Linked DNA regions of Danio rerio. The protein of the gene in region 1 interacts with the protein of each later gene in a biochemical or structural test. Links are inferred from orthologs where the notes say so. Each region holds a gene or a part of one and is shown on either strand. Other genes may lie near its edges.

What was found.
Region 2: the proteins of sntb2 (region 1) and ptprnb form a complex in vitro, tested with the Homo sapiens proteins (2 studies listed by BioGRID and IntAct). The link is inferred for Danio rerio from reciprocal best matches to the Homo sapiens genes SNTB2 and PTPRN.

Annotation. Positions count from the first base shown.
Region 1 is NC_133200.1:37,489,194-37,493,305, reverse strand, and holds the start of sntb2 (beta-2-syntrophin), read right to left. Parts: upstream 2,841-4,112; 5' UTR 2,586-2,840; coding exon 2,042-2,585; intron 1-2,041. UniProt on the Homo sapiens protein: Adapter protein that binds to and probably organizes the subcellular localization of a variety of membrane proteins. May link various receptors to the actin cytoskeleton and the dystrophin glycoprotein complex.
Region 2 is NC_133181.1:14,913,407-14,916,950, reverse strand, and holds part of ptprnb (receptor-type tyrosine-protein phosphatase-like N), read right to left. Parts: intron 2,975-3,544; coding exon 2,626-2,974; intron 1,048-2,625; coding exon 904-1,047; intron 795-903; coding exon 760-794; intron 1-759. UniProt on the Homo sapiens protein: Plays a role in vesicle-mediated secretory processes. Required for normal accumulation of secretory vesicles in hippocampus, pituitary and pancreatic islets.

The DNA of each region.
Region 1 (4,112 bases):
CAGTGCCAGTGCTGGGGAGACATTTAAATACCACAACACTCACTGGACTCCACCAATGTAAACTCTGCCTGTGCCAATATTGCGTTTAAGTCAGTTTTGTTTAACTATTTGTAAATATGAAAATTAAGCACCAAGTAAAAAAACTGATATTTGTAGAAATATTTGTAAGCTGACCAAATTTACACTAAAATAGGAATCAGATATTAGGTTTCGATCCAGAAAAAATAAATCATTTGCATAAATAAATTTGACTAAACTATAATATTTTGTAGGAAGAATTAATTAAATTAAATGGTCATTAATTAAAATTTTTATTTATTGTCACTGTACAAAAATGTGTCATGATTCCACTTATTATATTTATCTTTTATTAATCACAGCTTTTCGCGTGTTTTTGCAATACAAATAATTTTTATTACCATGATTTTTGTTGTTTTTTAAATAATAAGATGATATATCCCCTTAAAATTTTAGACCATATCAACAAAAGTAACAAATCCAATATTTTGTAATATAATAATAATAATAATATTGCTGACAAATAAAATTTCTAATTAAGTGAATTACATTATTTAAAGATATTAAAGACTTTTATCTGCATTTTTTTCATGCTACCTACAATTTTTGCTTTTATTTTATAGTTTTTTTGTTTTATAGTCTACAAACTTCGACACAAAATTTGTGGGACTATTTATTAGACAATGTTTACATGTCAAAACGATTCTTTCAGGCCCACAAAATGCATACAATTTATATAATTTAGTTTGAAAAACGTGTTACATAGATTTACTCTTAGGTACGAGACTAATGAAAATAAAGTCGCAAAACAGATTCTTTCATTCATTCATTTTCTTTTCAGCTTAGTCGTTTTATTAATCTGGGTTCGCCGCAGCGGAATGAACCATCAACTTATCAAGCATATGTTTTATGCAGCGGATGACCTTCCAACCGCAACCCAGCGCTGGGAAACACCCATACACTCTTGCATTTACACCCACACGTACACTACGGCCAATTTATTCAAATCCCCTATAGCGCATGTGTTTGGACTGCGGGGAAACCAGAGCACCTGGAGGAAACCCACACCAACATGGGGAGAACATGCAAACTCTACACAGAAATGCCAACTGGCACAGCCGGGGCTCGAACCAGCAACAATCTTGCTGTGAGGCGACAGTGCTAACCACTGAGCCACCGTGCCGCCCAAAACAGAATCTTTACTAGGAAAAAAATAGTGGGGCTGGATTTTTACACTGACTGTGGTTTGCTATTGGTCAGTCACACTGAATGACACCTTGACTCCGCCTTCATGCCAGTGAACACCAATCAAAGAAGAAGAGCCACTGAAGTGGGCGTTATTTTGAAGAAAACTTGTATGAAATGTTATTTATTTAAAATTAAAAAAAATGTGCAAAGACAATAATTAATAATAAATATCGTACTAAAGTGTTTCAACACCGAACTAAAATATCATTCAAAATTAGAATTTTTGTATTGCAGAATATGGGTATTGCAAATCAGAGTTATTGATAGATGTTTAGGGGATAAATCAATCATTAGATAGATAAAAAATATATAAATAAAAAATAATACTGTGATTTCACCAAAAAAAAATGAAGTTAAAAAAGTACAGTAATACAGTACATCTGTTTATCTATTCCTCTTTTACTGTATTACTCCCATTCCTATTCAAATCATACCTGGTGTTTGGAGAAAATTGCTATTAGAGAAAAAAAAGTTATCTGCTTATTACCACAAAAAACCTTCAGTCATGCACATCACACATCTGTAAGTTTCATAACTTCAGTAAGGGGTTTCCAAACCTCTTATAAACCTGAATTATCTAATATGTCAAATGAGCCAATGTTTACAACATGAACAGTTAAAACTCAACACAATAAAACCTGAAACACCTCAAAGTTTCTATTTAGGCGTGTAAATTATGAACACATAAATAATTAATTATTCAAAAAACTTTGTTTTGATTAACGGTAAACTACAAAGGCCTACTGAATCCCCGCGGCTCGAGTGATTGACTTACCCTCCAGCGTGACCTCCTTCCCAGCCTTCTTCAGCGCCTGCACCGCCGCGTCGTGCGTAGCGTCGCGGAGGTCGCTGCCGTTGACGGACAGTATCGCGTCGCCCACACGCAGAGCTCGACTCTGATCCGCAGCTAAACCGGGGAAGATCTTTGATATTAGGATAGGCATACGGTTCTCCCGTCCCCCTTTAATGCTAATCCCCAGTCCGCCGGACTCCTGCTTGACTATCCGAACTCTGCGTACCCCCTCCGAGTCACAGTAACCGCTGGACTCCGAGTCCGACCCGGTCCCGTTAACGCGACCCGGGCTGTTGTCGTATTGCACGCGATTCGTAAACACATCCCGGTTCTGTTCGTTGCCATTGGAAACGCCGTTTTTCAGATGCGAATTGTGCTCCGGGTAACCCGCGGGCCCGCCCGGTTCTCCCTCCGCCGTGAGAGTGAGGTTGTCCCGCGTGAGCTCCGCTGACACCCGGACCCAGCGGTCGCTCAGCAGAAGGTCCAGATGACCCTGTTTCTCCGCGCGGGTCCACACGGCCATCATCAAACTTTAACTCATCCTAAAGTTTAAACTCGCTCGACACACCCACTCGCACGCACATTTCCCCTGAGGAAGGAAGAGGAGCGAAATTTTAATAATAAATCTGTTTAATAAGTTTAAACATTGGTATTTATTGCTGCAGCTCTCCGAGTTCGGGTTCTCACGGCACGGAGAAACTATTTAATTAAAAACACGCGCTGCTGCTTAGACCGGACGGCCGGAGAAAAGCGTTAGATTTGTATCTCATTGATTATTCATGAGAGGGGCGGGGATTGTCAACTTATTTATCTTTCCTCGCCGCACTAAAGCCACTAAAGCTGTACAGTGATTTAGAAACAAAGCGAAAATAATGGCGTAAAATTACTTCAGTGTCATCATTACTGTATGACTTTTGTTCTTATTATAATGCAGCTTTTAGTTGTAATAAGATAGATAGTAGGAAAACAAAGATAACTCTCTCATTAATAATTAATCAGATTCAAATCTTTATACGTTGAATAAGTTAATATCCAACAACAAATAATAATAATAGTTATTGTTAGTATTATAATTAATATAAAACAAAATAAATACGTTTTTAATATAAAATTTTAACTTGTCACTATTTCACAGACAGTTAAAAGACTATTGGTGAGCTAATTTAAGTTTTTATAAATAGATGGGATTATTAGTTAATTTTCATATTTACTGTTTTCATTTTAATAGAGAATTAAATTAAGCTTTAATAATCCTTCCATCCCGATACCATAAAGCAAAGTCCATTTTCATCTGTAGCTGAAGGGATTGAAGCTCTATTGTATTGAAGTCATGTGTTTGGTAAATCTGCTGGTCAATATAACACATAAGTGTTTTTGCCCAAAATAATATTGACTCGCAGTAAAAGATGTTGACTGTTCTCATTAGCTTCAAAGTGTTACTCATACTCTAAATGACTCACCTCAGCTTTAAAAAAAAACTCTAATACACAGCTTTATTTTATTTATCACAGTTGACAGAAAATTTATGTATGATAATTGTTTTTCCTTACACTAATTAATGTAGTCGTGTTGTTTTGAATTTGAGGGGGGAGGGGGGGGAGTATTCAAAATACAGTTTTGTGTAAGCGTTTGTGAATATGTTTATAGCACGAATATGGAAAAGAGGGAAAACTGATGAATCAACTGAGGATCATCAGGAACAACCATCACAAAGTAAAATAAATAAATAAGAACATAATTTCAGCTATTTTTCTGTCATGTAAACATCTTTGTTGTAAAATTTAGAATTGAAAAAAACAGCCTATGAACTCCTCAAAATGATTAATAAATTCAGAATTGCAGGAAGAAGAAAAAAACTAATTCAGAATTGTAATATAAACAAAGAAACATGAGATAGAAAAGTATCTCTGAACACACAACATGTCCAACCTTGAGGCGGATGGGCTACAGCAGCAGACAAACACACCGGGTGCCGCTCCTGTCAGCTACGAACAGGAAACTGAGGCTACAATTCACACAGGGTCACCAAAATTAAACAATAGAAGATTGGAGA
Region 2 (3,544 bases), on another chromosome or scaffold:
AATCATTGTTTTCAGTGTATGTAGTACACTAAAGTATGTGACTCATGTCTGCAGATTATCTCTGACTTCTGGCAACTGCGACTCTCCCAGAATGTTTATCCTACTATTTTTTTCTTCGCTCGTATTCTCTTTAAAATGCTGTCAGATGGGCCATCAAGAAAAGTCTGTTAATTTTATAACCAGCCGTGGTTATTTATGCAAAGGGGACTAAAGAAGGAGGTAAGAATCATGTTGCTGAAGTGCTAAAGAACCTAAAATATTGTGCACAGACAAACATCAACGTTGGATTAAATAGAAATTACCTACATGACAAATCACACATGGTCATGGCTCACAGTTCCCCCACTTGTTTTCATAGAATTATAGATCAAAGGGATTGTTCACTCAAAAATGTAATTTACTCACTATATTTTTACTCACCATGAGTTTCTGATGTTGAACAAAAAAGAAGATAATTTGAATAATGTTACAAAACGGTTATCACTGACACCCATAGCAGAAAAAAAAACTACTATGGAAGTCAATGGTTACATGATTTGTCAACATGAATTCGTTTGTGTTCAACAGAAGAAAGAAACTCAAGTTTGAGTTTCAAGAGAAGGTTGTGTTAAAGACAGAGTTTTCCGTTTTGGTGAACGATCTCTTTAATACTTGCTGCCCCCTGCTGTTAATAAAAAGTACTACTACTGAGCTCAACCCAACCTTGAAACATAACTGAAATACTAAACGACAGCAGTTCTACATTTTCTTTCTGCTTACCACTTTTGGAGGCGCAGAGGAATCCTTGGCTTCAGCTGAATGAAGAAAAACAAGCAATTCCAAATTAGCATATTTTCAGAGCGCCAACAATAACAATTTATATCTAAATAATAATAAATGTTATGGAAATGTCAGAGTGCTCACATTTTCTCTGATTATTTGGTGGCTCATTTTGCAGGAACTGAAGGACAGAGAAGAGACGCTCCATCTCCTCAGGGTTCAGGTGATTTAGATCAAACCCATGTTGCAGAAGCAGCTCATTTAGGCCTTGTTGAGATGTTCCTGCAGCTGGTTAGAGTTGAAAGGTCATTTATTTTATTTATTGAACAGTGCTCATCAATCAACAATAAGAACTACAGAAAAATTAAAACTAGTCTTTGGGGTAATAGGGTATATGCCGAAGCATGCTAACAGGACATTTAATTTGCCAGTCACCTGGGTTAATAATTTCCGGTGAGTTGTATGCTAATGCAAAACCTGCGCGTTTAAGGTCTGTTTTCTTTAAAAATCAGCCATCTCCACTGGCTGAGTGATATCTGTTATAAATTGATTGTACAAGAAGCACCGCATTAGATTACATTTTCCCCGCCATGTCTTTATAATATGAGCATTTTATTTTCCCCAGTATATTCAATGGAGCTTCTGCGCTAGCCTGCCGATTTCGACGGGCATGTGCGAGTAAGCGGCTTTTTGTCTCATTTTGAGCAACTAAATGAATGCCAAAGTCTGTTTAACTGATTGAATTTGAATTACATTACAACATCAATGCTGTAAAATGAACCGTATAAAATGAAAAAAAAAAAAACCTCACAATAACAGGTCACCGGAAGTTTATCAGTATGGGAAACACACTAGCTCGGCATATACCCCATTTGGGTACTTTTACGTTCTTTGAGAAGGTTGATTAATGTACACTGTCCCATGTTCTGAAAAATAAATAAACTTACCACCTGGCAGAAGCACACATGCTTTGGGTGTTGGCAGCTTAATTAGCAAAAATGCAGTTTGTTGCTTTGCTCAGTGAGCAGTAACTGTCCTAAAATGAGTTCTGAGATCAGTCTCAACCAACTGTATATGCAACTCATGAAATAAGCTTTAAAATAGCTCTTTAGTTTACTTAGGATAACTTCAAATAAAACTAAAAAACTTCAAAATGTACGACACATGATAGACGTACAGCGCATGATATTATCAGACCTTTGAGTTTAAGTTGAACAAAAATACAAATGTATTTAAACTTGTATTTAATAAAATCAACTCAATTCCATTTAATTGTTTAAAAAAAAATTTTTTAGTTTGTGCTTAACAAATTTATTGGAAATCCTGCCCTCAATTAAATTGAGTTCATTCAATGAGTTTTTTTTTTTTTGAGTGCACATTATTCAGCTGTCTTGATAAATATTCTTCTTTATGCATAAAAATGCAGTATTTAAAGCAATAAGTACAACCACTCAAAAAAATGACATTTGTTGCTCATATGAAACCTACATGCAGTATATATGCACATATATGATAATATATTAGCTGCATATATGCGTATATATGCCACATACTGTATGGGCAAAATTGAGGTGCATTAATAGTTTAAATCAGAATTATTAATATTGGTTCTAATCCATTTTAATTTGTAACAGTTAACTTAATAAATCTGTGTTAGGACAACATAAAGGGATTCAGCACTTTTACAGTGTATAACTGTAATTAAATTAACAAAACACTAATTAAAGGCAATCTCTTTACTTATTTCAGTTGAAAAGTAATAAAAAAATACAGTAACTAGTGATTTGCCAACTATTGCCAATGTAATTTTTTGCTGTGCAAATACTGTACATTTAAGCTACAATAAACATCAACAAACTATCTCACCGCTGTGCGCAGAAAAGCTTCCATACTTCTGGGGACCTTTCTTTGGCTCTCGCTGGCTGCTGATCCTTTCATCCTGGGAAAAAGTGTCCTTGTTATAATCCTTGTATTCAAGCGGGAAGTCCAGATCCTGGAAAAAAGATGAGGTGGAGTGTGGTGCTGCCACACGATGGCGTGAGCTGGGCTGTGCAGGAGAGGAAAGGAGGAGAGTCATCAGATCCTGCAGAAGCTGATCATCCTTATCCAGAGATGGAGGAACTGGAGGATTTCCCCTGACACGAGAGGAGGATGCGGGATATCTGCCCTTCTCCACCAGGTTTAAAGAGCGCTCCTCTTCATCTTGATAACCATACTGTTAGACAAAAAAAACACACATGCACACACATGATGTTGAAATTAAAGAAAAGTAGTTGTAATATATATATAAAACCAGGTCACAAATGTAGTCAGGTGCTAGCCCATGCACTGCTTTGTATGACAAAATCAGAACTCAGAAAATCGGTTCAGTTCGTTATGCTTTTATATCCGTTTCCTATGTCAAAAAGTACCTAAAAGTGAACTGTACCACTTTTTGGGTACCCTTTGCAAAGGGTACCTTATAACAAAAAAAGGGTACCAAAAGGCAGAACCAGACACGCAGCTGAACACTATTGATATACAGAAATACCTCACTCGCTCCTGCAACAAGACAGGAGTATGAAAACAAAGAAAGCTGATGTTTTTGTAAGTTAATCTGCTATTACATTATTTTATTTTGTTTATTCTCTATTGATTTGTTCTTTTGATGTAAAAATAATTGTGAGCATTGTATTCCTAATTTTTTGTATGCTATTGTTCTTGTGATACATTATTTTTTTTTACATTAAAAAAAAGAATAAAAACAAAGAAACCGCCATTTTTAAAAACACAGACAAACAGACAA